Linked DNA regions of Ovis aries. The protein of the gene in region 2 interacts with the protein of the main gene of each other region in a biochemical or structural test. Links are inferred from orthologs where the notes say so. Each region holds a gene or a part of one and is shown on either strand. Other genes may lie near its edges. The genes, in order: AKT2 and SH3RF1.

Evidence for each region.
Region 1: the proteins of SH3RF1 (region 2) and AKT2 form a complex in vitro, tested with the Homo sapiens proteins (2 studies listed by BioGRID and IntAct, with this or other methods). The link is inferred for Ovis aries from reciprocal best matches to the Homo sapiens genes SH3RF1 and AKT2.

What each region holds. Positions count from the first base shown.
Region 1 is NC_056067.1:49,094,543-49,110,432, forward strand, and holds the start of AKT2 (RAC-beta serine/threonine-protein kinase), read right to left. Parts: upstream 9,497-15,890; 5' UTR 8,981-9,496; coding exon of another isoform or gene 8,883-8,980; 5' UTR 1-8,882. Other genes in the region: C14H19orf47 (uncharacterized protein C19orf47 homolog), read right to left, coding at 9,497-9,994, 11,704-11,774, 13,092-13,244, 14,749-14,886. UniProt on the Homo sapiens protein: Serine/threonine kinase closely related to AKT1 and AKT3. All 3 enzymes, AKT1, AKT2 and AKT3, are collectively known as AKT kinase.
Region 2 is NC_056055.1:111,871,006-111,886,279, reverse strand, and holds part of SH3RF1 (E3 ubiquitin-protein ligase SH3RF1), read right to left. Parts: intron 10,485-15,274; coding exon 10,336-10,484; intron 9,377-10,335; coding exon 9,206-9,376; intron 6,974-9,205; coding exon 6,714-6,973; intron 5,457-6,713; coding exon 5,152-5,456; intron 529-5,151; coding exon 236-528; intron 1-235. UniProt on the Homo sapiens protein: Has E3 ubiquitin-protein ligase activity. In the absence of an external substrate, it can catalyze self-ubiquitination. Stimulates ubiquitination of potassium channel KCNJ1, enhancing it's dynamin-dependent and clathrin-independent endocytosis.

The DNA.
Region 1 (15,890 bases), on a different chromosome or scaffold from region 2:
AGCCCCCCTGGCTGTCTGCCTAACTTGATCTCAAGCTTCTCTCGCCCTTTACCACCACATCCTAGACACACTAACCTTTTCTCTGCCCCACCAAAAAGACAAGCATGTTCCCACCTCAGGGCCTTTGCACTCGCTGTTCCTTTTACCTGGACTGGTCACCCTCCCGGATCCTGATCTTTGCAGGACTGACTTCTGTCTTTCAGAACTCAGTTCAAATCTCCTCTTTAGAGAGGCTTTCCCTGGTCACTCTGAATCCAAAAGAGCTATGCTGTCCCTCCTTTTCAGCATATTTGAATTCTCTACCTAGTGCTTAACACTAAAGAAGAAAATTTTTTTTTATTTTGTAACTGTCTTCCCCCAACACTGGAACATAAACTTGCCCATGAGGGCAAAGGCTTTGTCTTGGGCTGTATTCCCAGTGTCTAGAACATTGCCTACGCACCGGTTGAGACCTGGGGAATCAATAAATATTTGTTGACTGAATGTGGTTTTGATTAGGAAGGTTAAAGCTCTGTACTGGGGTGAATGTTACTTCATGTCTGAGCTTGTCTGCTCACAAAAAAAAAAAATTTGAACAAATAATAATAATCCATTAACCTTTATGGAAGAATTCTCATATATCAGGCACATGCTGGAAACTATATCCATGACCTGAATATGTTCCTGTGGGTAGAAGTCTCTGTAAGGCCTATTTTGCAGAAGTAAACATAGGCCCAGAGAGGGAAAGCCTCGGGAAAAATACCACATACCCGAATGTTGTGGCGCCCAGATCCATTCCCAAAGATGTCAGGCCAAGACCACACTTTTACCCATAGCATTGGACTTCACATGCATGGATCCAGATTTGAGACATGGCGAAACCTCATTTTCAATGCTAATTAAAGTATGTGGGTTTGAGTTACATAAATATTTAAAACATAGCTTCCCATATTATTAAGAAAAATTAAGATGATGTGAATATCACTGGATTTCTTTTTAGCTCATCAGGAAGGGACTCATTTCACAGCAGCCTAACAGGATGATTTATAAAACGCTATTCACGCTGCTGCCACCAGATGGCACCACGTGAGACGGCCATCCCCGCCGGAACCCAGCTGTCTGGCAGGCTTCAAGCCTTCCTGGAGAAAGTTGGACCTTCAGGCTGTTATGGAAACATTCACTGTTTGAAAGGAAACTCTGACAGGACACCTAAACGCAACACGTGATTGGAACTGGATTCTGAGCCAAGGAAAAAACATGGCAATAACGAACATTACAGGGACGGTTGATGAAACCAGAATATGAACTAGGGTTCAGATAAGAAGAGCACTGTATCCTTGTTAAATTTCTTGGTTTCGATAGTTGTACTGTGATTATGAAAGAAAATGTTCTTGTTCTTAGGAAATACACACTGAAGTATTGTCAGGTAAAGGGACATGATGTTCAAGTGAACTCTCAAATTGTTCAAAACCACAGTGTGTGTGTGTGTGTGTGTGTGTGTGTGGTGTCGGGGAGAAGAGAGAATGGAGCAAACAGTTGGCAAATCTGGCTGAAGAGAATATAGGAAGTACTTGTTCTATTCCTGCTACTTTGTTATAAATTTAGAATTAAAATAAGAGTAACTCCTAAAGCTCTTTTTTGTAGTCAATGATAATGTCATTAAGGGGTTCTTTCGGTGGTGGTGCTAAGGCTGATGCAGAAAATCATCAGTTTCAGAGACAGATGAGAAAACCACGCCATGCCAGGCACTGTTTGAGCCCTTCACAAGAACTGACTCATTTGGTCCTCACAATAAGATGCTGCCATTACTCTCACCTTAGTGAAGAGGAAACTCGAGCTCAGAGAGGTTGAGTAACTTGCCCAAGATCATACGGTTGCTGTTAATCAAAACAGCTCAAGCTCTAATCATAACAGACCATAAAGAAGGCCAAACAAGGGGACCTCCCTGGTGGTCCAGTGGTTAAGATTTTGGGCCTCCAATGCAGGGGGTGCTGGTTCAACCGCTGTTCGATGAACTAAAATCCCACAGGCCCCTCAGTGTAGCTGAAAAGTAAAAAAACAAACAAGATGGCCACCCAGCGACTGCCAGGATATGCTATGCTGGCGATTCAGGAACAAGCACTGAAATAAACATGAGGGAGCAGGAAAGGCAGCTCTGGGGGAAAACCTTGGGACAACGAACGTAGGTTTATGTGTTCATGGGCCTCTGCCTCAACCTGACATTCAAATCTATGTAAAAGTCAGCCTTGAATTACGCAAGGTTTAGCTGAAGTAAAACAGGGAAATAAAATGGCTGCTTGTTCTGATGTGCCTAAATCTGTTAGCTGGTAACACGGGAGGAGAAATTGAGAAATTAAGAGTATTCCTCAAACAAATCTGATGATATTTAATATTTACTTTTAAATACACAAATGGCATAAATTCAAACTTATAAAACATAGGTGCATTCCCTTTGCCCTTGCAATTTAGCACCTAGATATTTATCTTCTGGATATGTTCACGTATGAGCAAACCGTGGTGTGCGTAAGAGGTGCTGTTTGTGATAGAAAAAGACTCGGAAACCACCCAAATGTTCATGATAAGGGATTGGTTTCAAAGGTTCATCCACACAAGGGGATGCTATGCAGTTAGTTTAAAAGGAAGCCTCTTTCCAGTAAGGACATTAAAACATGTTTAAATCATTAGCCATCAGGGAAGTGCAAATCAAAAACCACAGTAATAAGATATCATTTGATACCCACTAGGATGGCAATGAGGAGCCACAGGAGACACGAGTTCGATCCCTGAGTCAGACGATCCCCTGGAGGTGGGCATGGCAACCCACTCCAGTATTCTTGCCTGGAGAATCCCAAGGACAGAAGAGCCTGGCAGGCTACAGTCCATGGGGTTGCAAAGAATCAGACATGACTGAGGCGACTTAGCACGCACACACACAGAACGGCAATAATCGAGAACACAGATACTAAAGTGTTGGCAAGAACACAGAGAAATTAGAACTCTCACACACTACTAGTAGGAAAGTAAAATGGTACAGCCACTTTAAACAGTCCGGCAATTCCTAAAATGGTTAAAAATAGAATTAACTTATGATCCAACAATTCTACTCCTAGGTATATACCGAAAAGAATTGAAAACATACGTCTACACAAAATTTGCACATAAATGCTCACAGCAGCATCATTCGTAATAGCCAAAAGGTAGAAACCACCATCAACGGACAAACAAAATGTGTTACACCCATACAACGTGATAAACTTCATCAGTAAAAAGAAACGAAGTACTGCAATGTGGATAAACCCTGAAGACATGCTAAGGGAGAGAAATCAGACACAAAAAGCCACATATTGCATGAACCCATTTCTATAAAGTACCCCCAAGCGGCAAGTCTCTGTGGACAGCCAATTAGCAGTTGCCAAGGGCTTGGAGCAGCGGCGGAGGGGGCAGAGCATGGTAGGACTTGGGGACTGATGCTTAAGGAGTGTGGGTGTTTCTTTCCAGGATAATGAAAATACTCTAAAATTATGGTGTGTGTGCGCGTGCTCAGTCGCATCTGATTCTTTGGGACGCTATGACTGTAGTCCCCCAGGCTTCTCTGTCCATGGGATTCTCCAGGCAAGAATACTAGAGTGGGTTGCCGTTCCCTTCTCCAGGGGATCTTCCCAACCCAGGGGTGGAACCCACACCTCCTACATCTCCTGCACTGGCAGGCGAATTCTTTACCACTGAGTCACCTGAGAAACCCAAAATTATGGTGATGGACACACAGTTCTATGAACAAGAGTCACTGAAATACGCGCTTTAAATGGGTGAATTGTCTCATATGTAAATTATATCTCAATAAAATGTTTTTTTAAGTTCTTTATGTACTGATTGCAATGGTCTCCAGGATATAAAGCATTAATAATAAAAAAAAGCAAAGTATAAAACTATCATATATGCTACCATCTGAGTGGGAAAAAAATATAGTTATGTTTGTAAATGAAATGTTTCTGGAAGGACACATAAGACCCCAGTAATACTGATGGCTTCTGGAGAGGAAAACTGGATGGCTGAGGGATCTAGAGTAAGAGAGAGAATTGTTATTTTTTAATTGCTCTCAGGTACCCAGAGAGTATTAACACAATGGGCACCTGGGTGCCCACAGCTTTAAAACCACTACCATACTGCTGGACCCTATGCACACCCCTCCAATCACAATCCATCCCACCCCAGAACGGGTCTACTATCCTTCACTTGGAATTTATCATCCCCATGCATTGCCTACATTTACTACACTCTTAAGTATCTGTAACCAATACACATTATTTTGCTTTTTTGGTTGGTGTTGGCTGTGCAGCTTGTGGGATCTCAGTTCCTTGACCAGGGACTGAACCCAGGCCATAGCAGTGAGAGCCTAGAATCCTAACCACTAGGCCACCAGTGAACTCCCTATTTCGCATATCTTTAAACTACACATATTCTTCTGTAGTTTGCTTTCACCACTCAATGTTTTGCTTTATTCATATTGATACGCACAACTTTAGTTTTCATCGAAGTATAATATCCACACTCAATACATAGTACATCCAGGATTGACGTGTAATTTTTCAAGATGATCTCTCATCCCTCTTCTTACAATGAGACACTGCCTTTCCTGTCTTGACAGCCACAGCCTGTGGTCCCTCTTGAATCTGGGCAGGCTAGTGACTGTGGCAGAAGTGAAGCAAGGTGACTTCCAATGCTAGGTTAGAAAAGGCAATACACTTTTCCCTGACTCTTGAGAAGAGTGCACTTTGAATCCAGCTGCCATGTTGTAACAAAGCCCAGGTCACATGGAGGAGCCACATGCAGGCATCCTGGCTGACAGCCCACGCTGAGATTTTCCCTCAGTACCAGTAATGGCTAACCACCAGACAACTGAAGAATTTCAAGGGGACACTGGCCCCAGCCAAGATCTTATACCAAGCACATGAGAGCCCCAAGTAACAACAGTCTAATTGAGCATAGTCAACCCCCCAGAACCACAGGAAATGATTACTGATTTAAGCCACTAAGTTTTGAGGTGATCCACTATGCATTAGGTAACTAGAATATGCTACAATCTGCCTATTCTCCAGCTGATGCATATCTGGGTGGTTTCTAAGTTTATGCTACTACAACAGTGATCTTAGGAACATTCTGATACTTGCCCTGGATGCATGTGTGAATTTCTCCAGAATGGTAACTGGTAGATTGGCGAATATGTCATCTTCAATTACGCTACAACATATCAAACTGTTTTCCAAAATGCTGATGCCAACTTACATTCCAACAGCAGTCTACGCACTACTACTATCCCACATCTTCCCCAACACTTGCGACTTTAATCTTTTTGCCAGCCCACTGGGCACAAGAGTCTTATTGTATACATCCTTTTGTACCTTTGAATTTTGTGTTGTTTGCATGAATTAATGCAAAATAATCTGATAAATGTATGCTAATAAATGACTGCTTTTCTGTTTTAAACATGTTTTAAATATTGGGGTTCTATACTAAAATTACTTTGTGTTTTGGCCACGCCACGTGTCTCTCATTATGAAGCTGCCTAGCCCAGGCTCATCTCCACAGGGGTGGCTACAGGGTTCCCAGAAGCAGCATAAACAGGCAGGCTCCACATGTGCAAAGACCTCTTAAGCCTAATTAACTTAGCAAAGCACATACTTTGTACTTCCTGGCACCTGGGTGGTGGTCTGCATTACCTCTTCACATCCCGATCCCCTTGCTCCAGTGGCCTCCAATTAGACGAGCCTAACGGCTCTTAATTCCTTTCTGGAATGGGGTGATACATGTGTAAGTAAATCATCTGAAGAGTGCCAAGACTTTGCAGGAGAACCTTACTGGGATGCGCTGTTGACCCAGCATCAGTGTTTGCACTGAAGTGGTGTCATTGGAGTTCTTCCAATTCACCCCTGAACCAAACCCACCTTTCCCCACAGCAGCACTCCTATAATAACAAGGACTGGAAACAACCCGAATTCCCTTGCCTAAAGGACTGGTTGAGTAAGCCAGGCCATTAACATGTGTGTGCACATCTGTGTGTACTGTGTCCCTCTGGCTATATGTATGCATGCACATGTGTGTGTGTGTACACACACAGACAGGCACATCTCTGGAAGGGTGATCCAAGATAATGGTAACACTGGTGGCCTCTGAGGAGGGGGCTTGGGAAGAGACTTTTCACTGCGAAGCCTTTGTATCTTGGCACTGTACACTAGATATATGTATTCTTTTGGGTTAGCCAAAAATTTCATTCAGGTTTTTCTGTGAGATGTTTATGGAAAAGCCAAATGAACTTTTTGGCCAACCCAATACTTATACTCGAAAAAGTTTCAGAGAACCAGAGGAAAAAATAACACACCCCTGTGGGCCACAGCTGTTGGGGCCGGCTTGGGAGGATCACCGAAGCAAATGGGTGGGACGCTGGAGTGGCTGGGAGGCTGAGGGGTCCGGCTCCACCCTGTCAGGCAGGCGGTGGCAGGGTGGGCATGACCCTCAAAGCCCACAGCCTTCCGGAGCTGCAAGTGCTCCCTGGGGTAAGTAACGGGGCAGTGTGTACACACAAGCAACTCAAGGACACCTGAAACCACTCTCCCAGGACCCTGCCCTCCCCTTTATAAAGGGGGGCCCTGGTTCCGATCTGCAGCTGAGGCACCACAGGCAGGGGCTGAGGGGCGAGGCGCCCGCTCACCTCCCAACGTCACACCCAGCGCTGCCACCCGCCAGCTGTCTGTCCCCCTTCGCACCTCTGTCAGGAGCAACAGTGACTCGACTTACCTCACAGCAGGTAAGCTTGTCATGATAAGTGACACGTTTTTATATCATTTTAGTTCCTATTATGCATTCAGAAATACCCTGTGCTCTTAAATTTAGTAACTGGAACCCTGCCAGGCAACCCTGGCAGTTGCTGAAGTTATCCATGAAGTGGAACTCAAGGAAATCACTAGGAGGGTTTTTAAAGAAAAAAAGAAGTGAAGAACCAACCGCAAGGAAAGTGTCTCTGTGTGTGAGCGCCTCCTTGTGGCCCTGACACAAATGGGCGGCCTCTGGGATCTTGACACCACTATCATTTGCTGTCCTTCTGAGGTCAGCAACCTCAACCAGCCCCACGAGGGTTTGGCCTGGGCCCTCACCACGAGATGGGGTCTATGGCTGCTCTATCACTGCCCCTCATACTGAAGTCTGGCCCGCACACCGCAGGCCCAGCGCGTGGGACCCTGCCTGACGTGCAGCAGCCTCCCAGCATGACGGCACCGACTAACTAAAAATAAACGGATGATCATTTATGAAGACAAAAACAGGTCTGAAGATGGATGACGGTTATACAACAGTATGAATATGCTTAGTGCCACTGAAGAGGACACGTTAAGAACAGTTCAAATGGTCAGTGTTGTGTTGAAATGGAAAATGGAAAAAAATGGAAAAAAAAAACCAATGGGAAAAAAAAAAAGGATGCCGTCTAACCTCACCTTTACCTGCTCTCAGCTCTTCTCCTAACTCCCTGACCACTCCTTGGTAATCTCCTTATCAGAGACTATTCTCGAGGTGGGAAAAGCACCCCCACTCCCTTCTGGGTCCCCTCCTCTCTCTAGGCTCTTCTCCGGCTGGTATCACCAGGCCCGCGGCTGTGAACATGCCTGTGCCGAGCCTTCCCCGCAGACTGCTCACCTCTCAGTCAACCCGGTGAAACCTGAGCGCCCTCCCACCCCACCTAGTGCTACAAAACAGCACGCTCCTCTGGATGCTCAAGTCCCCCATCCAGGCATGACCCAGCCCCTTGTCTTTTCCCAAATTCCAGCCCATCTGCAGGGAGAATCCTGCTGCCCCTCTTGAGGCACCCCCAAAGTCCACCCCTGCCTCTCCTCCCCCTCCCACCACTTCCCCTCAGGCTGCCTCCCTGCCTCCATCCCACCCGCCCGACAACTCACAGTGGCCCCAGCAACCTTCATACAAGGCAACTCAGATCACCACTTGTTAGCCTCAAACCCTCCCAAACTCAACGCTCTCAGGAAGGGGTTCAAATTCCTTAGGCCCGGCACTCACTCACTCAGTCACCAGCCACGCTGGTCTCCTCCGTGTCCCCTCGTCCCACTTCAGGGCCTTGGCCTTGCCTGTTTGCCCTGGTTGAGCACTCTCCTCCTGAACTTCATGTAAACCACCCTACAGGTCACCTCCTCTGAAAGGCCTTCTTGCCCCAAACATCTAGAGAGACCCTGATCACGGGCGCTCAGCCTTCCTTCCAACTCTGAGCAGTGTGATCACTTTCCGCTTGTCTCCCTGGCTGGTGAGGGCAGCCATGCAGACAGGGACGGGCCTGCTTGGCTCACAGATAGACCCCAGCCCTTAGAACGGGCCTGGCAGACACAAGTACCACACAGCAGTGAGAGGGTGAAGAACCCAGTCCACAGGAGCCCACAGCCTCACAATGGAGCTGCAATCTGGAAAACCCCTCACAGGCAACCTGGCAGAAATGGGGGAAACCTATGACGAGGAGGGCAGACAGACAGAGGCCCTGCGGGAGCCCAGAGCAGGAGGAGGTGGCCCAAGTGGATGACGACAGGGACTTACTCCCTTCACCTCAGAGCTGGCAGCAAAATCACGGCCTACAGGTGTGCAGGGAGCTGCCCAGCTCTCCACAGGTGCCCCACCCACTCTGTGCTGCATGTAAAAAGCAATCCTGCAACTCACCCTGAAGGAGGGGAGGGAAACAGTCTGAAAGTCACAAAAATATATTAAAATAGCTGTTTTCTTCTCTCGGTGTTGGCTTCCCACCTCCGTGCCCCTTACCCGCCGCCCGCCAGACTTTCAGGGAGAAAAGAGGCCCGGGCGGGTGCCCTGGCTACAGCCCGGGGTCTGGGGAGGTCCCTCCAGCCTGGGAGTGAGGGCGGCTAACAGTCTCTACTGGCTCGACGCCACCGCCGACGAGGGCGCCGCTGGGAGGCCGGAGGTGCAGGAGGGTCAGGCAGGACGCAGCGGACAGTCGGGCCTTGCCACGGGGACAGAAAACAGAAAAGAAATGAACAGAGTGAAGATCGGGAGAGAGTAGGGGAGGGCAAAGCAGTGGGTGGGGCAGAGGCAGGCGGGCAAGGAAGTCCCGGGGTGGGGGACACAGAAGCCCCTTCGGGTGCACCCTCTCTGGGGGACAGGGAGGCCCCAGAATGTGGGTTTGAGGCAGCAGATGCTGCTGGGAGAGAGAAAGGGCATGGAGGGGAGGAGAAGGGTCCTTGGCATCGGGAGAGGTAAAGAGGGGGTCCTGCCAAGGCCACAGTCAAGAGGCAAGAGCAGAGGACGGGAAGGAAGGGAAGCCCCAGAGCGGCAAGGCCAGGCCACGGTGACCCTCTCAGATTCAGAACACCCAGGTGGCTCCCCGGAAAGCTCAGGCCAGCGGGAACACCTGAGGGGGCGACAAGTCGTCCGGAAGCCAGCAGGGAGGGGTGACGTGCCCTCGCTGAAGACTGATGGAGCCGGGAGTCAGGAGAGGGGCCTGCGCCCCGCCCATGGGCTAGAAGGTCCTCCGGCCCAGTCTTTTGAATACGCTCACGGTGCCCGCGTGGTCCATCTGGGCACCCAGGCCCTCGCTGGAGCTGCTCCCCCGGGGCCCCACCAGAGTCCTCTTAATGGTGACCTTGACCTCAGCTGAGGACTTACTCTTGGTGCTGGTGACCTGGCTGTCCTGAGCCTCAGGCACGAGGGCGGGCTTGCCCAGTCTCTGGATGATGCTGACTTTGGACAGGGCCTCCGGCTTCCTCTCGGGCGCCGGGCGCGAGGAGAGGGCCAGGCGCCGCAGCGTGGGGGCGGCAGCGGCCGGCGCCGAGCTCGTCGCCTTGGCCTTGACAGTCAGCGCAGGCTGCGGGCTGGCCTTGGCGGGGGTGCGGCCCAGCCTCTTCAGGACCCCAGCGTACTGCAGGACGGAGCTGCTGCTGCTGTCGTTGTCGCTGTCCCAAGCCAGATCCTCGTCCGTCTCGGGCGTGGCCCCCAGGCGGCTGAAGACTCCGGTGGGCTGTGGGGGTCACAGACAGGACAGGTGAGCCACCGAGCCACTCGCCCTGTAATCACAGAGCTGCCTCATCCGTGCCTGGCCTCGTGGGGCTCGCACTTGGGAAGCGCACCCCTCGCTGACACACTCGATAGTAGTGAGAGCCAGGAAAGGGCAAGTCCAGGGAACCGGGGGAGCCCAGAGGAGACCACTCCCTGCCAAAGTTAGGGGAAGGCACCCTGGAGAAGGGACCTCTAGGATGAGACCTGAGAGCTGAGTGGATGTGAGTCAAATAAAGAGCAGGAGGGAGAGGGGAGGTGAAAGGAAAAACTGTCTGCTAAGGTCTATAGAGGACCCACAGAGAAGAGGCGAATTTGGTCAATCACTCCACAAATAATCTGAGTTCCAGCTCAATATCTGGCCTGTATTGGGCAGTGCTGGGGACTCAGTGCTGACCAAGACGGGCCCCTGCCCCACTCACAGGGGGCTTACGGTCCAGCAGGGAAGACAGAGCCGGCATCGGACCTCACACAAGTAATTCTCCAGTAATGACAGCACTGTGTGCTTGGGAGGGTGGGCATGGGGCGGGGGCAGTGGAGAGCTGTGGACAGCGAAGCCTCGTCTCTTCGCTGAGTTCAGGGACACTTTCTCTGAGGCTTTGCTGTTTAAGCAGAGTAAAGTGCACCCTCAAAGTCCCCCAGGCATGAGTAAGAGTCATATTTATGGGGTACTTGCCCAGCTCTTTCCACGGCCCCATCTTTAAGCCAGGTTATCCTGAGCATTACAATCACGCTCATGATAAGATTTAGGAAATGAGAAAAAAGCCAGAGTGGGTGAGCCCCGGTGAGCAAGCAAGGAAAGGCAGCTGGCAAACTTGACCAGCCTGAATCTGAGGCGCCATTTCAAGACGCTCACCAGGGACTTCCCTGGCGGTCCAGCAGTTAAGACTGTGCTTCCACTGCTGAGGGCGTTGGTTCAAGCCCTGGTAGGGAAACTTCCATGTGCTGCTCAGCGCGGCCGAAAAAAAAAAAGATGCCGACCAGGCACCAGACAGACCCCACCACACATGTATACCTCATGAGTCCTCACGACTACCCTGTGAGGCAGGGACTATACAGAGGAGGAAACTGAGGTGAAATGGTCGAGGCCATGAAGCCAGGCAATGGCAGAGCAGGATTCATGCCAGGCAACAGGCTCAGGCTGCATCTCCTAACCACATGCCACGCCTGGAGCCTGCGGGACCGCAAGTGGAGGCAAGAAGATCAGGCTACCTCCTGGGCTGGTGAAAAGCCTCTAAGGGTTTACAGTGGGCGAGGAGGGCAGAAGGGGCCTGTCCTGTGGGTCGTAGGCACTGCTGCTGTGAGGGAGGGGCTGGAGGGCTTTCCCTGGAGCTGCACAGACACCAGCTAGGAGGCCACTGCCCATCCCAACAGGACGAGGCTGCAGACAGGAGACAGATGGAGCCCCCAAGACAGGAGGAGGACGTGCTTTGGAGGAAGATTCGAGGCCAGTTAGGGGACATGCTGGTGGGCGGGGTCCCAGGACACTGTCCAGGGGTCCGCCAGAGCCCTGGGGCTATAAATCGGGAGAGAGATCGGGGTAGCAGACAGACAGGGAGCCGGACTTGAAAGGTACATGAGACCGGGTGAGGGGTGTGCAGGAAGCGCCAGGAATGACACTCAGGGAAGACCAAGCTTTGAGAGTCCCCAGGGGCTCCCCCACTTCCCACTCACTTTATTCCCCGTTGTGGTATCTGCCTTGGTCTCAGCGCCGAGGCGGTCAAACACAGATGTCCTGTGGAGACCTGGGAGGGAAGTGAGGTTGTTAGCCTATGCCTGGGGGGTGGCCCCTGCAGGCCTAAGCCGGGCTGAGCACTGAACAGACAGGGAGGGGTCATCACGGCCCGCCCAGACCCCAGGAAGCTCTGGTCCAAGCAGGCGCACACTGGACGGAGTCAGGTTTTATGTCTGTGCTGTCCGCTAACACTGACCTTAACCCCCACACTTCTGGTCAACGTCAAATGTGAGAGGATCAATTAAAATGGACACTTCTCCTCACTTCTTGGTACCAATTCAAGAAGTGTATGTGCAGGAAGAGTTCTCAATCCCTACTGCTTCCTTTCCCTCTTTTGGGGGCCTTGGGCCTCTAAGAGAATCGGATAAATGGTAATACCCTCCCTAAATAACAGTTTGAAGAGCCATCAACAGAAGAATGTTTACTAGATTACGATACAGAAGTATTATGGAAACACTGAACAGCCATCAAGAAGAATGAAGCAGATCCATGTGCACTAACGTGAAAAGAGCTCAATAAAACCTTATACAACAATACCTGCAGGATGAGACTATTTGTGCTTAAAAAGAAAAAAAAGCTGAGATGCATGTAAACACACAGACAGATGTCTGGAAAGGTTCGCAGTACACGTGGGATACAAGTTTGTTTTCACTGCCTCTGCATCCACTGAATATTTTTCCATGAGAATATACACAATGTTCTGACAGAATGCAGGGCTTCAGCAGGAGTTAAAAATCCACCTGCCAATGCAGGAGACAGAAGACACGAGGGTTCGATTCCTGGGTCAGGAAGATCCGCTGGAGAAGGAAATGGCAATCAGCTCCAGTATCTTGCCTGGAAAATTTCAGGGACAGAGGAGCCTGGTGGGCCACAGTCCATGGGGTCGCAAGGAGTCAGACACAACTGAGCACAAAAGGAACACTTAAAGAAGAGCATCCTCATACCGCCGGATAAACGCTAGCTCTGGCCTGAATCTCAACCTGACCCCGCTGGCTCACCACGATGGTTCCTACTGTTTGGGGCACTGTCCTCAGCCAGGCCCGGTCACGGACTTAGCAGGCAGACCAGCACTGGATCCGTGCCACCGTCCGCCGAGGGAGAGACGCCCACTGAGGCACCGAGGATCCCTGCTATGCTAACTGCAGGACAAGAAGGCAGAGGTGGTGATGCGCCCCTCTCTACTATGGCCACCATTGCTGTCCCTGGGTCCAAAGCCCCCTGGATCCCCATCAGAGCCTGCTTCGGGGCCAACACCTGTAGAACGTGACCAACCCTGCAAGACGCAGCAAAAGGGAAACACAGTCTCTGCCCCTCCCCAGGCCAGTACCTTTTGCTGCCTGTTGCTGCTCCAGGATCTTCCGGGTCCGCGGGGTAGTGCCTTTGGGCATGTTGATAATGTACTTCCCCTCCATCTCGGCGGTGACCCGGCGCCGCTTGGTGGGAACACTCAGGCTCTCCTCCTCTCGGCGGGCCAGGGCTGCTGGGGGAGGGGGTGGTGGTGAGCATCTTCTGAAAGGGAATGTCCACTCGGGGTGGGGGGCTGGACGCCCTGCAAAGGGCACTCACGTGCCCTTTATCTCCATGCGTTCCCATGACCAGAATCCCTTCTCTTCCCAACCTCCCCTATGGGCATTGACTGATCCGCCAAGAAAGTCAGGGGCCTGGGCCCAGTGGGGTTGCAGAAGGCTATGGCTGGCCTCCCGGGCTCTCTGTGGCTCTGACCCACCCCCCAGTAGGCTCGCCTCCCAGGCCAGCCAGAATACTCTCAGATGGGAAACTGCTGGGTGGTGGACAGGCCATCGAGGTAATGGCTTCACAGGTATGATCATTTGTTAAAAATCATTCAAGCTATGTACTTACAATGTGTGCCTTGTGCAAAAGTAAATTACAACTCACAAAAATAAACAGAATCTCCTCTACTGTGCTGAAGGGAAAGGAACCATCCATCCCAGGCCCCGCATCTTTTCACTACTTTAGGAATGAATCTTAACTTTCTCGCTCATGTCCCACAAACTGAACAATCAGGAGGAGGAGGAGGAGGCGCTTCCAGACACATGTGGCCCAAAGGGAGCACCTGTCATGGAGGTGGACGGGGCGTGACGGGGCTGGGCGCCATCCTGGGCCTTGCTTTCCATGTGGGCCAAGACCACTGGGCTGTGGGGGTGGACTCAACAAAGGCAGAAGCATGTGACGGACAGAAGGCGGGCTTGGAAGCCCAAAGGCCGTGCCCCACTCCCAGCTCACAAGCTGAGACCAGGAAGAGCAGCGGCCAAGCATAGAAGAGTCTACACAGGAAGAGGACCCTGGGAGAAGGGAATATTGGGGCAAAGGCCCCATGATGGGAAGGACCCTGGAGGGGAATGGAGGCAGCAGGCAAGACATGAATCCACAGGGCCCAGCAAGGCCATGTGGGAAGATGACTTTACTAATGGAACAATAGGAAGCCCTGGAGAGTTCTAGACAAGGGTGGAAAAGGATCAGATGGAAAGTTTTAAAGAATCCCTCTGGTGGCTAAGAGGAAAGGTAGCTTCTTTACCTTTGACCCCAGGCATCAAGCACAGGGCCGGGCACCAGTGCGGGGCTCAGTGACCATCTGTTAAAAAAGACTGAACCACCCACAGTCAACAACACTGTTCTGCACACGTAAAGTTTCATGAAGTAGGCAGATCTCACGTTGTGTTCTCACCACAATAAAATAAAAATTACACAGACTGAACTGGCCCCTGCATGAGAACTGCAACGGGTCCACGATGCTCACAGACACCATCTCAAGGGCTTCCAACCGTCCGCGGAGGAGGGTAGCGCCAGCCCTCTTCGACAGACGTGGAAGGCGAGGCCCCCAGAGAGGCCGTGACCTGACCGAGTCTGAACACTGTGCACACCCCATGGCCTGCACAGCAGCGTCAAGAACACGTCCCCCAGATGCCGTCTGCCAACCCGCAGCGGCCTCCAGCTCCTCCCACCCCCTGCCCACATCCCCTCACCGGCAGCCTTGGCACTCTTTGCCGCCATCTTGTTGGACACGGTGACAGAGATCTTGGAGGTGCTGGTGTCCGGCCGCCTGGGGGGAGTGCCAGGTGGGGAGTCTCGGTTCAGGCTGTTGGTGATCATTCGGGAGGCGGCTGGCAGGAAGAGGAAAGAGGAGAGTCCAGTGAGACAGGGCCCCGGGAAGGGGGCAGGATAGGGAGGGCCACCTTGGGACTGAATGGGCTGTACTGTCAAGACAGGGAGGCCTGGGGAGGGCCTGTCTTCCAGGGACTAGTCCAGCCCTCCTGGCCCAGGGGGGGCTTTCCTGAGGCCCAGACCAGATGGTTCCAAGCACCCTTCATCCACCGGTCACCCAGCCCTGTGCTGAGTCCTTCCCTCTCCCTCCCCCACAGCCTTGCTTTCCTCCAGGACCTTCCTCCTCCAGAAAGCACACACCTTGGGGTGCCTACTATCTGTCTATCTGCTGTCTGGCTGGCTCACAGCTCCCCCAGTACCAATGGGCCTGCTCTCTCTCTTCATTCAGGTCTCCTCTCAGACTCAGCCTCCTCAGAGAAAACTCCCGACTGCCCCCTCAACCACTCCCACTTCTACCCTACACTATTCTTTTTCTTCATAGTCCGTATTACTGCTGGATACGCGTGCATGCTCAGTCACTTCAGTCGTGTCCGACTCTATGCGATGCTACGGACTGTAGCCCACCAGGCTCCTCAGTCCATGGGATTCTCCAGGCAAGAACACTGGAGCGGGAAGCCATCTCCTCCTCCAGGGGATCTTCTTGCCCTTCCTCCAGGGCTTCCCAGGGATTGAACCCACGTCTCCTGTGACTCCTGCATTGCAGGTGGGTTCTTTACCGGCTGAGCCACCAGGGAAGCCCACTACTGCTGGACATTCAAGTACATTTATCTGTCTACTGGCAGACTCGTCCAAGAGACTGCAAGCCTCAAGAGGAGATACTGTTTGTTGCTCTGTCCTCAGCACTTCACAGGTCTTCAGTAATAAACATCTACTGAAAAGATGAACAGGGTCACCGAACCTCCCAACACCCCTAGCAGACAGGCTCTGCTGCAAACGAACTTTAAAGATGAGGAAATTGGGGGCACTCAGGGAGGAGGGTCACCCAGCAGGGGCCCTGGGCAAT
Region 2 (15,274 bases):
CGAGGAGCCAGGAGAAGGCAGGGACCAGGGCTGCCGTGAGCACTGCCCCATAGAGGAGAGCTCTGGAGACATGATGGAAAGGGGTGAGGATGTAGAGGGGACCGCAGAGATGGAGCGCGTCACCCAAGGGGCACAGGAGCCAGCGCCGGCTGTCACCGCAGACCCCAGGAAGGAGCCGGAGATGCCGCGGGTGCCACAGACCTGGCAGCTCCCAGCGCCAATGACAAGAACCCACCTCTCGCACACGGCGGGCCGCACCTCACTGGCTGTGGGGCCCAGGGACGAGCAGGGTTGCCGGGGGGGTGGCGCCACTGGGGCCGAGTCCAGGGAGCAGGACCTGCGCTGGGGGCCGGGGGCCACGGCGTCCCCATCGCAGGGCCCGGGGCAGGCGCAGGGGGGCCCCGGGGGCCCGCAGGACAGCTCGGCCCCCAGCTCAGCATCCAGCGTGGGTGAGGCCGGCGGTGATCCCCGCGGCTTGCGCTTGGTGGAGGCCCCGGACAGCAGCTTCAACAGCCCCTTTTTCTCTTTCTAAGAAAAAAAAAAAAGTGCATGGGTTGGAGACATGGTTCTGCTGGTAGAGTTTCAAGTTCAGATTTGAGCTTTCCAAGGGACCCCTGAGGGTGTCTGGGACTCCTGGTCTGGCTCCTGGGGCTGTGCGCTCAATGCCCTTCCCCTCTCCGCACAACCCCCACCCACCTGCGCATCTTCCCTGGTTCTGGACACTCAAGTGCTCATCACCAACCTCCATGGAGGTGGGATGAGCAGATAAAAAGGATGGGAAACCAAAATCCCACCAATTCACTTCCCAGGCTTGGTGAAGGCAAAGTAGACACTTTAGGACAAAATGGAAATTTCAGACAATAGCTTTAATTTCCTGAAATTCTGCCTGTTCTATACTCAACTAATAGACCTGCAGCTTATCCCTTATAGGGGATGATGTCTTGATCAGGGTGAAGGGCTAAGTCATTTTCACTCATCACTGTTGATGAAATTTAACAAACCGATAATAACAGAAGTCAAACCATATCTGTTGTGCAAATACTTCTTTAATTAAAAAAACAAAGTCGTGTCCAACTCTTTACGGCCCCATGGACTATAGCCAGGATCCTCTGTCCATGGGATTCTCCAAGCAAGAATACTGGAGTGGGTTGCCATTACCTTCTCCAGGGGATATTCCCCACCAGGGATCAAATCTACATCTCCTATATTTCAGGCAGATTCTTTACCAAAAACAACTACAAAATTAAGAAAAAAAAGCCCATCAGTATAATGAAAACATTTTGCGTCTCTTTTTGCAAGCAAGTGTCTAAATGAGAATTACTCCCATCAGCCTCACGCCATAGAAGCCACCTCATGGGTCTTGGTCTCCTGGGGTCTTTTCCTTGTGGTCTTGCTCTGCTAGGAACCCAGATCCAGGGCTGGCTCTTCTCTGTGCCCAGACCCCAAGTGTCAATATTCTTCTGATGCCCAAAGTAATAACAGCCATCATTTTAAATTGCTTTACTAATGTGTCAACTGGGTCATCAAGTCCTCTGACTGAAAACACAGTCCGAAAATACAACAGTTGAGAGAAATAACCCTTTAGAATGCTTCCTAGGCAAACTGGGACTAGTAAGATCCACTAACAGGGAAGGAGAACTATAAGCAGCCCTCAAGGAGAGAGAACACCGAGGAATTCTTCCTGAATACTGACTTAGTTCCCACTCAGTCAAATATCCTTTGGGCGCGGTGGCGGGGGGTGGGGGGATCCGTAACAGCAGAGCTCAGTGAGAGACAGTCTGGCCGACGGAAATAAAGGTAAGCATTGATCAGACGATCAACCATCCCAGGCGGTCTGCACCACGGGCCCCATTTACCTAGCGTGGCCCACAGCACTGCTAACCTGCAGGGCAGGGATTCTCCCCGTAAAGGTCATTACAGAACACCGAGCAGAGGTCCCCGAGCTACACATTCGGCCCTTGTTAGTCATCCATTTATACAGTAGTGTGCGTATATCAATCCCAATCTGCCTCTCCCTCTCTTACCTCCTGTTAACCATGTTTGTTTCCTACATCTGCGACTCTACTCTGTTTTGTAAATAAGTTTGCTTGTGCCCTTTTTCTTTTTATATCCCACACATGAGCAATATTATATGGTATTTGTCTCTCTGTGTCCGCCGTACTTCACGCAGTGTAACAATCTCTGGGTCCATCCATGTTGCTGCAAACGGCATTATTTTGCTCTTCCTTATGACTGTGTACATGTCCCACACCTCCTTGGCCCACTCCTATGCTGACGGATACTTAGGCTGTTTCCACATCTTGGCTGCTGTAAACAGTGCTGCTGTGAACAATGGGGTGCACGTATCTTTCTGAATTATGGTTTCCTCTGGGTATATGCCCAGAAATGGGACTGCTGGGTCACACGGTTACTCTATTTTTCAGTTTTTAAGGATCCTCCACACTGTTCTCTGCACTAGTCATCATATTTACATTCCCATAACAGGGTACAAGCGTTCCCTTTTCTTCACAGCCACTCCAGCCTTCTCATTTGTAGACTTTTTGATGATGGCCATTCTGACCAGTGTGAAGTGATATTGATACCTCACTGTAGTTTTGATTTGTACTTCTCTAATAATTAGTGAGAATTGATCTTAAAAGTTACAAGAAAATATATGCATGGCCTGAAATTCAGAAGGAAATCCTGAAGCTTCAAGAGCAGTGGGTGGGCTCTCCAGAAAGAAGCTCCAAGCACACACTGTAAATCACTCCAGCAGGTGAAGGTGCAGAAGCTCCCAGTGATGAAGGCACTTGTGTGATGCCCCAGGAAGTGATGATGATGCCCCAGGAAGTGATGATGATGCCCCAGGAAGTGATGATGATGCCCCAGGAAGTGATGATGATGCCCCAGGAAGTGACAGAAAGGCCTCCACAAAAAGATCAGGAGAAGGGCCCCCAAGAAGAACATACCACGGCTGTGGCAAGTCAAGATGCTGAAGGCCAGAATGAACTTAAACTTACAAAAATGCGAATGACCAAAAAAAGTGGGGGTAGGGTGTGTGCTGCTTTAAAGTTTTGTTGGGAACAAGAAAGACATGGATCTGGTGCCTGGGGTGGATGGTGGTCCTCAGACGCATGAAGAGTCCCTTCCAGACTAGACAGGAAGAACAAACCTTGGTAGGAGGGAAACGGGGGAGCAACTGGGATTCAGAGATGAAACCACTCCTCCCAACAGGCTGATCCACCCCGGCGGACTGAGGAAATTAACAGCTGGAACACAACTGATCTCTGACAGATCCTGGTGAACCTGGGACCAAGGTCGACTCAACATGCCAAAGAAAGGCTTGTGTGGTGCTCATTTTCACAGATGACCACAACAGTGCTTGCAGACCACCTGGGAAATCCTAAAACAGGGTATCTGACGAAAGGCTGACTCAGAAAAGGAAGTGAGACCAAGGAAGTCTCCTACACGAGATGCGGGCTCACAGGTTACAGCAGAAATGGTGAGGCGACTGGGGGACTGGATGGGAGAATGAGAGACAGCTGGATCTCATCCAGGCATCCGCCAAGCTCTCTCTGCGTGTCCTGGCAAGAGGACAGAGTGATGGGGGTGAAGTGATGCTCCTTGCACTAATCATGGGTCACTGAGTTTACAGCCATTAGGGACAACCTCTTTAATGAACTGGGAACATTAAATGAGGTGGCAGATTTAGAAAGGGAAATTAGAAACCTGTGACATGAAGAATATGGGGGGGAAAGCCCTCAAGAGTGAAGCCTTTAAGAAAAGATGATAACCCTGAACTCCCTGCAGGGATCACATAGAAAGGAGACCATCATTTTCTATGCAGTCCCTCAAAGCACAGCGAGAGGGTCTGAAGTCACAGGGAGACAGGTGTGTGCTGACTGAGCTTTCCAGGAGTTCGAGCTGCCCGAAGACAGTGTTGACGCTCCGCAACAGGACACAGGGACCACAGGGCATCCTAGCAGGGGCCAGTGGCCACTTGTCAGGAGGGGGACTGAGCGGGGCAAACAGGTCACTGCTCTCTGCTTCTGGTGTCATCTCCCTCTGGCCCTGATCTTCCTTCCTCCCTCTTCCTTCCTCCCCCTTAAGGAGATCCCTTTGCTTATTATATTGGGCTCACTCAGCTAATCCACTCATCTTTAAACCTTTAATTGAATCACATCTGTAAGACCCCTGCTGCAACGTAAGGAAATGTATTCTCAAATTTCAGGGATCAGGACATGGGGGCTGTTATTCTCCCTAGCACAGGCTTCCTGCAGATTGCATGAATCCTTCCTTCGGAGGCCTGGGCTCCAGAGCCTGATGCTCTGAGACAATGGCCCCTGATGCCTTATCCTGGAACCTTCAGATCTAAGCTGTAAAGTAAGTTTACTTTCTGAAGATCCTGGCAGGGTGGACCGCATGAGCTTCAGTACAAGTTTAATGTAGTTAATCATAAACATTGAACTGATACTGATCTTTTGCAAAAGCACTCATGTTAACTCAACAATTAAATATTAACTTCTTAGTAGGCTACATTTATTTCCTTATAAAGCCCTGCTCACAGGCTCCCTGGTCATTTAAAGAGCGACGTACATGACTGTGAAAGCAGGTGTGACCCCACAGCTGCCCAGAGCCGGCAAGCGGTCCGGGGGGGGGCACGCGTGAGCACGGAGTGGAAGTCACGCCTGCAGCACGATCACCAGAGTCTGCTGCAGGCTGCTCTTTCTGTGCACGTTTCACCACCACACACGCCTCTGTCTACAACCCAGCCACAGGTCAGTCTTTCAAACATAGCTTCCCACTTACAATTTCTTTGAAATTCAGGCCCAAAGGATCTTTTTTTTTTTTTAATAAAAAATATCAAATTAGAAATTAATTTCCCCCTATATCTCAAGTCAAGAGAAAAACTATCCACATCCACACAAATTATAGTCAAACACAGTGCAGGAGCAATGAATCCACCAGCAACACTTTGGATCTACAGTTCCAGCTCCTTCATATCCTAAGTGCATTTCTGCAGAACAGTTAACTAGAAGCAAAGCTCACTCACCGGGAGGAGTTCAGGGCAGCGAGGGGGTAGGGGAGTGAGCGGCTAGGGGACAAGCCCCAGAGCTGAATGGAACCCCACCTCCCCGCACCCCAAGTGGGTCAGCAGCTGCTGGGGCTCACCTTGCCGTCCTTGTCTGGCCTGGCTGCCGAGCCGCTGTCAGGAGAGGTGGGTGTCCCTGGGAGCAGGGTCAGAGGGCGGCCGCTGGGCTCGGGCTCCAGGGAGGCAGCAGGGATGCTCGCTGGGGCTGTGGTGCAGGCCAGGGGGCCTCCGACCCGGCCCAGGCCACTGGCAGCCGCGTGGGCAGGGGGGCCCAGTGGGGCAGGGGGCTGTGGCGACGCCAGGGGGTGGTGGGACTGCCCCGGGGTGCTCTGAACCTGGATGGGTGTCACGGCTGCTGTGGGACGCTCCTGGCTGTGCGCTGAGACTGGACAAGGGAAGAGAGGAGGAAAGCATGAGTGGAGCCTCGCTGCTCACTGAGCCCTGCGCGTGTCAGTGATGAGAAACCGTGGCAGTTTAGACACTCTGACCCTCGAGGGGCCCCTGGACATCATCCCTCCCTGATCCCAGGCAGCGCCCCGCTCGGTCCCGTGACACAGGGTCTGCTGCCACGCCTGCCGAGTGACAGCACGGCCACAGCACCAGGGGTGCAGGAGCCCCCCGGGCTCTGGCCGAGGCGCCACCCCCACGCGCCCAGCTGGGCAGAGCAGCCTGGCCCCAGTGCCGCTTCCTATTCTCCCTCTTCTCGGAACCTGCCTTCCTGCTCTGGATTTCCGGATAGAGCTGAACATGTTTTCTCTACCACTGTTAACCAAGACCCCTGGGAGGTTTTAAACGCTTCAGGAAGAAGAAAGCTACTTAAGGTCTGACTGTGTCTGAAACAGAGCAGTGACTAAGCTCATCCCAGCACCCGGACGGCAGTCTGCGGGCTGCGCCTCCGCAGCAGTGGGACCCCAGATGGCTGGTCTCGACCACAGAAGTCACATTTTCAAGGACTATCGACATTCTCAGGACCCGCCTGGTAACAGTTTCTTTCAGACCCGTGGTCTGGAGACCAGGCTTGGACTCACAAGCTGGGCAGGCGAAGCCAGATGAAGCCGATGTAAAGTGATGGTGCTGAGACTGTGCTGGCCCCTCTTCCTGTTATTCAGTGTCTTCTTCCACCTCCCTCAGCAGATTGCCTTGAAGTTCCACCTTGCTCTCTCAGACTGTCCTAAAGTGCCACCTTCCTCTGTCAGACTGTCCTAAAGTTCCACCTTGCTCTCTCAGACTGTCCTAAAGTTCCACCTTGTTCTCTCAGACTCTCTTAAGGTTCCACCTTGTTCTGTCAGTTCAGTTCAGTTCAGTTCAATCGCTCAGTCGTGTCCGACCCTTTGTGACCCATGAATCACAGCACGCCAGGCCTCCCTGTCCATCACCATCTCCCGGAGTTCACTCAGACTCAGGTCCATTGAGTCCGTGATGCCTTGCTCTGTCAGACTGTCTTAAAGTTCCACCTTGCTCTCTCAAACTATCTTAAAGTCCCACCTTGCTCTGTCAGACTGTCTTAAAAGTTCCATCTTGCTCTCTCAGACTGTCTTAAAGTTCCACCATCCTCAGACTGTCTTCACATCCTCACAGCCTCTGGTGTACAAGGTCTGAGGCTGCTCAGGCCCCTCTCCCAGGGCCTCGGCCCAGCGCCCACCTGTCCTTGCAGCGCTCCGGGCCTGGTTGACAGTCATCTGTCCGGACACATGCAGCAGGACCTTAGCCTGGGGGCTCGTCTGGACGTGAGCTGCCGACACCACGGCTGTGGGGACCCCGGGACCGCCAGCCACGCCGTTCCCCGGGGGCTTCTGGGCAGGCCCGCCTGCAGGGGGAGGGTTGGCCGGGACCCCTCCGCGACTTGCTGGGCCAGTCGTCAGCATGGGGACTTTGCCTTGGGAAGCGCTGGTCACGGCCCTGCTGAGACAGAAACCCAGTCCGTCAGCAAGAGGGAGAGAGGACGACCAACGCCAAAGAAAATGGTGCAGAGCCTCAAGACGTAACCCTGTAGAACGCGGTTATCGGAGCAAAGGTAAGAGCAACGCACTCAAGGAACAGCGGCCCCGAGGCAGAGAAAGCTCCGGAAGCCTCTTCTGAGGGGAGAGGTCGCACAGCACTCTGCTGGTGACATGGCTCCTCGGCTCGGCTCCCCTCCGGGGGTAACTCTCGCCCGGGCTTCCTCTCGGCCTGTCAGAGCGACATCTAGGCTGTCACAGCTGGGCTCACGTGCGCCTTCTCTGTACCTGCCCGTGTACACGCGCGAGTGCACGCACATACTTGTCACGTCCCTCGGGCTCCCTCCACCCTGCCTCCCCCTCACCTGCGTTTCAATTCTGTCATCCCAAGCAGCCTGGCCTTAGGCCCGGGACCTCGCGACTCTCCTCTGTTTCAGGTGGATTTCCTCTATGACCCTTGATTACAAAACACGATGTGGAGTCCTATCAGTCAATTCCCAGTGAAATGCTCCTGACTCAGTACAGGTTTCCTGACAGCAGGGCCACGTGCAGCGGTTGCTTCCCACCCTTCCTGCGTGCGCAGTCACAGCAGCACAGCTGGCCCGCAACAAGTATTTACCGGCTGAATTTCACTCCATTCGGTTCAGTGCGGCTTTATGTAACGTACTTTTTAATATTCTAAATTCATTTAAACGACAGTTCTATAGATAGAAACTTTCTACCAAGCAGAAGGCTTCATTAACTCAAACCTCATTATTTACCATGAGGAATATCAGAGAATTTTCCATCAGGAAGCGTCTCTCCAGAGACTTTTGATAGTTTGTATTTGAGTCTTAGGAAAATGTTTTCTTCAGAAAGTCGACATGTGGTTGTTGCTTGGTTTATCTCCCTTAGTTATTGTGGTTTTTGTTTGTTTGTTTTATCCCCCCAGGGAAGACAGAGCTACCGTCTTCTGGGCTGTGAATGTGGATTTTAGCATATACCAACAAGAACGTTCACACTGATGAAAAATCTGCAAGTCTAATTGGAGCTAGTGTTCTGTTGCCATCTGCAATGACAGTGATCTTCATTGGATTAGGCTGCCAGCCAGCCTGAGGATTGCGACCGACATCTGACAGCATGTCAGTTCGTTCAGCCACTTATTCAAAATCAGGGGCTTTGAGAAATGATTTAACACAAATAGGTTGGACCGTTTATTAAGAGCCCACTGGCCAAAACCCGGGGTTTTCTCAGCACTGACCCCATCATAGGTCATCACGATCATTCCAGGGCAAGCTTCCTCAGTGCCCAGAACGGGGACTATATTTAAATACAGTGAACAGTGCATATCAACACATCCCAAGTGCTTGCCTCCTACTATCCTAGAACAGGTTTCTCAGCCTCGGTGACACTTGGGGCCAGACAGCTCCCTTCTGTGAAGGCTGTGCCGTGCCCTGCAGGGTGCTGTATGCATCCCTGGTTTCTATACACTGGCGGCGAGTAGCACCTGCTCCCCCATCGTGACCATCAGAAGCATGTCCAGACACTGCAAAAATCCCCTGGGGAGCAAAACCGCCCTCCCCTGAGAAGGGTGAGGGACTCACGTCATGTTAAAGGAGTTTCAGTTCTGATTGCATTATAAAAAGCAATTTTGAGAATTCAGACATAATCCCCAAGCTATGGGAATACACACCTGGCTTTCAGCACCTCCTCACTGGGTGACCTCAAATTGGTTAACCTCTCCACCTCAACCTGCTCACCTGTTGAGTGGGGTTCATAACAGCACATACACCAGGGAGCTGTTTGAGGACCTGGCATTAACGTGCAGAACAGAGAACTCTGAGTGCCAGGTGTCAGGTAAGCATCACATAACCAAGAGGATTAATAACATCACTTGTGCTTATATTAAACAGCACTAATTTCCTAGCAGAAAAATACTGAAAACAGTGTAGTAGAGTCTTCTCACATGTGACTTAAAAGCAAATAATTTAAAACCGGCACCTGTATTGGAAGAAACTTACAATTTCACACGTGAAGAGTAAGCTAAAATCTTGAGGATTAGAAGGGACTTTGGCAAATACAGGCAGGGACCTCTACAATGCCGGCTGTGTAACACAGAACTGTAACATGAGAAGGAACTGTGGATAGGCTGGAAATCATGGGAAAGGACAAAGCTTCTGTGTTCAGGGCTCAGCAAGCCACTTGCTCAGAGCCATACCTCGTGACGGGGGCCACGTAATTGCCAGGAAAAACCCCAATCTTGCTGGTGTGCATGGACGTCCCCTTGAACCAGCCGTCCTGGCAGCGCTCGAACACGAGAAACATCTCTCCCTTCCTCAGCTCCAGCTCATCCTCTTTCCGGGGAGTGTAAGGATAAATGGCGACATACCTAGAAGAGGAAAAAACATCGGACTTCAAGGTGAGTAACAGACGTACCCCACGATGTGCAGGACTCTTCTGTGGCACGAAGCCTTGAATGTTTTGTACAAAAAAAACCAGAAAGTAGAATCCTTTAATCTGTGGGCAGCCTCGATCACTGTCCACTGAACGGCAGCCATCCACTCTGAAAAGGCAGAAGCCGCCTGACTCAGAACCTCCCACCTGGCCCTCCTGGTGCAAAGGTGATGATCCCGCCAAACGGTACTCGTGGGTGTGGAGGAATTGATGCCAGCCCCCGGCATGCACACCTGCAGCAGGGCATCAGATGCCCGCTGGGAAACTGGGCCTGCAGATGGCCCTGGTGAGACCTGGGAAGCAGCCTTGTTGAGGACATGTGGTCCAAAATCCCGCCGGGAAGCTTGGCACACAGCCTCTCCGCGCACACTGAACCAGCAACGGGCGGCACCTGCATCCGTGGGCTCAGTTGGGGTAGACGCTGAACTTGCGAGTCAGAGGCAAAGCAAGTCCAGATCACGGACAGAGCCCAACAGCCCATCTGCACAGGTGACAGCCACCGACACAAGGAGAGTGGCGGCAACGTGAGCAGGCACCAAGTGTTTCCTGGGTCAGTGTGCACGGAGGGGCCTCCGCCCGCAGGCTGCACTGAGCCACGAGCAGAATGAATGGAGTAACCTGACTCTGGACGCTCACTGCAGGCACCGCCGCACCTCCTCTAGGTCTGACCTGCGCGGGGCCTCCCTGTCCCCTCGCTCCCTTACTTGGGGATGAAGGTGGGAACGAAGCCCGGGTAGCACTCGCGGAGGAAGGCCAAGAAGGCCCAGCCTTAGAGTACGAGCTTCCTAATCACAAACACAGTGGCACCAGTCTGGCACCAGCTCCCCCCAGAAAGCTGTTCTCTGCCTCTCTACTTGGGTTCGGTCCAGGGGCAGAAAGGACCCCCACACTTACACGCTGGGGCGGGGCTGTGGCCGCGGGTGTGTGGTCTGGTCCGTGGGTCCAGCTGTGGGCCTGGGGCCCAGCCCGGCAGCAGCAGCTACAGCAGTGCCCGTGGGGGTGGCCGCCTGGAGAGGGGGCGGGGGGAGAGGAGGATTCAGAGTCTGGAGAGAGAAAGAAAAAGAAGGAACAGATGACTTATTTACATCTCTTCCAGTAAGTGGAAGGGAAAAGGAATCAGAAACCCATTAAAAAAAAAGACATCGGTGGCATCTACACAGAGCAGCAGCTACATGCTATACCCAAGCCTCCTTTAAGACTCCTCTCTATCCTCCTTCAAGGTCTTAGGGCCACAGAAACCTTTCTAGCAAACAGGTAAGTAACCACAACTGGGAGGAGGGAAAGAACAAAAATTACAAGATTGCGTGCAATTTCAAGATTAATGGCACTTCTAAGCACAAACTAGGATCAGGATCCAAATGCCTCCCAAGGGGCAGCTCTGACAGCACAGGGCTTGCTGGGGATGAATTTGTGACTGTTTCTGCAACCCGAAGCTTCAACATAGTAGCAGACAGTCCAGCTGCACTGTACACCATGCCCACAGAAGAAAACCTCGACGTCACGCCCAAGAAGAAAATCTCCTCGGACATCTGGGCTTCTCAAACCACAAACAACAGTGAGCCACGACTGCAGGGCCATGCTGGCTGCTTCTGTGTACTCCTTTCTTGTCAGCTCTGCCAGCTTTTTAAGCTCAGGACTATCAAGGCTGGTAATCTTTAACAAGTACCCCGCAAGCAGCTGCCGGTCCCTCGACAGGCTCTGCCCACAGGACTCCACACCTTTTCAGAATCAATGGAGCGCCTGCTACTTTCTAATCTACACAGCCCAGATCATTCTTTAGGGTCTGGATACTGAGCAAACAGGCACACACAGACTCGCCTGAACCCCCACCTTGCCCAGCTGCCCCAAATCTCTGAACCACTCAATGTAAAACTGCATCAAGGGAGAAATAAGGAGGCTAAAGACTGCAACTTGGGCAGGGAATGTGGTATCTCCATGTCAGAATAACGGAAGAAAAACCCCATGGTTTCTGAACACGGAGAACACCAATGGCTTTCTGTCGTCCGGGAAAAAAATCTGACACTTCATTAGCAGTTACTTCATCGGCCTGTTAAGTTACACGGTTCCAGAAACACTGCAGGAGAGAAGAACCTCAAGTTCCCAGCTGCACACTGCAACTGTCGAGCACATTGTGTTCCATTTTCCCACAGCGGAGACTTTCCCCACGCTGCGGCCCAGGCAGCACAGACTCACTGATAGCGCTCCCAGGGCGGGCAAGGCCAGCTGGACAGTCGCACAACAGGCTGCGCTGCGACTCCAGGTGGGCACACACGGGGCCTGGAGCCCTCATGACCCTTAACGAGGAAAAGGCTGAGCACCTGAGCTGCTGGTCTCAGGACAAGGTGGGAGAAACAAAGCTAACCCCGGTAGGAGCCTTGGCGCACGTGACCCAGGTGGGCCCGCTGGGCCGCCGCACACAGCGGCACAGGAGCGCCTGAGGTCACCACTGAGCCGTCTCCTCTGTGTCTCTCCAGGCCCCACCTCATAGCTGTGTGGCTGTGGAGGCGCAGGTGACAAGTCACAAAGGAACTCAGGCCACCCACCCCTGGAAGGACTCAGAGTCAAGGGCCCACTCGGCTCTGAGAATTCCACTGGCAGAGGCAAGAGAGGGAACCTGCACCTTCATGTCAGCAGAGCCTGTACTCACTGGCTCTAGACAGAAGAAGGCAAAAAAAGAGAAGGAAATCTATAGGCCTGATAAAAACATAGGCCACACTATGTTAACAAAATGTAAGAAAAGGTCACGAGAGTCGGACCATAAAGAAAGCTGAGTGCAGACGAACTGATGTTTTCCAACTGTGGTGCTGAAGAAGGGAGTCCCTTTGACTGCAAGGAGATCAAACCAGACAATCCTCAAGGAAATCAACCCCTGAATATTCATTGGAAGGACTGACGCTGAAGCTCCAATACTTTGGCCACCAGATGTGAGGAGCTGACTCACTGGAAAAGACCCTGATAGTGGGAAAGACTGAAGGCAGGCTGAGAAGGCGGCAGACAATGAGCTGGCTGGATGGCATCATCAACTCAGTGGACAGGAATTTGAGCAAACTGTGGGAGATGGTGAAGGACAGGGAAGCCCCTGTAATCCACGGGGTCACAAAGAGTGGGACGCGACTGAGTGACTGAACCGAACTGAAGAAAAGGTCATCTCCCATAGTTAGTAAGTGCAGAAAGGAAATGGTTGGTGTGCATGAATTTTATAAAGCGTAAGTTAGACTCGCTCGACATCTGGCACACCCCAGCACTGGGCTGTGTGTCTTCGGGAGAACACGCACGTGTGTGTGTGTGAGTATGTTGGAGGGTAAGCACACAGAGCAGACATCCTAACTGGATTCCATGACGTGGCCGTCCTGTGAGGCTGGTCAGATGCCAGGGCCCGGGCACGGCCAGGGCTGGGCTGGCCAGCAGGCCCCACGGGTGCTGGTGAACAGCCCACACTGAAAGGCCCCAGGGACGGAGATGCCTGGGAGGAGCCTGCTGCGAGCCGTCCCGCGGGAGCCACAGCCTCCCCCTCGCTGGGGCCATCTGCAGCTGGCCTGCTTTCACTGAGCGCTGCGGAAGGGCTGAGGCTGTGGCCGGGCCTCCGAGATCTGACACAGGGGATTGGCTGTGGCCTCGTGGTCGCTGAGATGAGGTTCTGCTTGTACTTCTGCAGATCCAGACCCTCTGCTACCGGCACTGGTGTTCGGACACCATGAGGATGTTCCCTAAAATCAGGGCTCGGGGGTCAGCTGATGGGGGAGGGTCAGGTCCGCCACATCCAGACTGTGTTCCCGACCCACTGATCTTGGGACAAGGAGGCAGCCCAGGGCTAGTGTCAGAAATGCCGTGCAGACTCCAGTCCCCACTCAGCCCCTGCAGGCCGCCCTCAGTTTCCCTCCAAGAGCAAAGCATCCTGTCCAGGTGGCTGGCTCCAGGTTACCGTCAGGCCATGAGACAGTGAGCGAGAGTTCAAGGCCGTGCTGCGGGCCCCTCTTGGCTGGTGCCCCCTCCCCCCTCCCCTTCCTGCGCGATGGGCCACTTCGGCCAGGGGACAGTGAGGGAGAATCCAAGGCCGTGCTGTGGGCCCCTCCTCACTGGCGCCCCCTGCCCTCTCCCCTTCCAGTGACCAGTGCTGAGATGCCCAGGCGCTGAGCTCCACGAGGTCTTAACCATGGGTGAGGGCTACGGGCCGCTGACCAGGAAAGCGCTCTGCTTGGAGCTTGGGGTTCTGGCTGTAAATGATCTGTCCTCTCTTTCTTTAATTAACTTTTTTATTGGAGGATAGTTGATTTACGATGTAGTGTCAGTTTCTTCCCCACAGCAGTGATTCAGCCTTACACAGACACATACCCACTCTCTTCCAGGCTACATTAAGGGTCCATTTGTTTCCCGACAGCCCTTTGTGTGTGCACCCTCCTCTCTTTCTGGGGTAGAAAGTGACGGCCAGCGTACGACTCTGGGCATTTCTGAGTCCTCTGAGCAAAGATCATTAAACACCCTCCAATTCCATCCTTCCTAAACATCCGCTTCCAATGAATCCACTTTCAACTCTGTAAACACTCTGCTTGTGCTGTGAACTCAGCTGCTCGGCCAGTAGAGGGATAGTGGCTGGTCATCCCCTCGGCGAGTGCTGTCACTAATTCCTGCAGCATCAACCCTTGCACACAGCAGTGTGTGTGCAACTGAGTGTCTCGCCTTTTTTAAACGATGAGTTGGAAGTAGAAAAATGGAAGCGCTGATACTAGTGATTAAAAAACACAGGCATCAGGATTCAGTAAAGTTAAGAAGATGGGAAGTGAGCTTTTGTCTCATCTGGATACCCAGTAGAATTAAGCCAGTCAGTCGCAGGCAAAGCTATGAAAAAAAGGAAAAAAATGAAAGTACTTAAAATGCTCGAAACAGATGCTTGGAAGATGGTGTCTGAAGGGGAGGTGTAATTAAGGATCTGGCAATTAGGAAGATTAATTAATTCTCTCTGGGAATGGACCTCCACTCACAGCTGCGGATACAGGGCTCTATCTCTGACACATGAGGAGAGGGGTGCACACGTGCTCCCCGACTCGCAGAAATGATGCACGCGGCCCTGTGCTGTCCACGGAGCTCTCAGCAACATGGCTCTAGCGCCCAGGAGTGGAGGCTCGGGGGCAGGCTCTGGTGGTTAGGATCCATGCGGCCGTGGAGCCACACGCCGCCTCTCTGTCCCCATGCTGCCGGTGCCCAGCTCTGCCCACAGGAGGCGCAGATGCTCAACGTGGTCTTTCTTTGGCAATGAGAAAACCTCCCGTGCTTCCACTGCCCTCAGGACAGTCTGATACAGATCAGGAGACCCTGGTCCCCGAGATGCCGAGCCCTTCTCTGTGGTCACTGTGAAGCTGGTTCTGCTGCTGCTGCTGCTAAGCTGCTTCAGTCGTGCCCGACTCTTCGCCACCCCATGGACTGCAGCCTACCAGGCTCCTCCATCCATGGGATTCTCCAGGCAAGAGTACTGGAGTGGGTTGCCATTGCCTTCTCTGAAGTTGGTTCAGTTCAGTTCAGTTCAGTCGCTCAGTCATGTCCGACTCTTTGCGACCCCATGGATTGTAGCACGTCAGGCTTCCCTGTCCATCACCAACTCCCGGAGTTCACTCAGATTCACATCCATCGAGTCAGTGATGCCATCCAGCCATCTCATCCTCTGTCGTCCCCTTCTCCTCCTGCCCCCAATCCCTCCCAGCATCAGAGTCTTTTCTAATGAGTCAACTCTTTGCATGAGGTGGCCAAAGTACTGGAGCTTCAGCTTTAGCATCATTCCTTCCAAAGAAATCCCAGGGCTGATCTCCTTCAGAATGGACTGGTTGGATCTCCTGCAGTC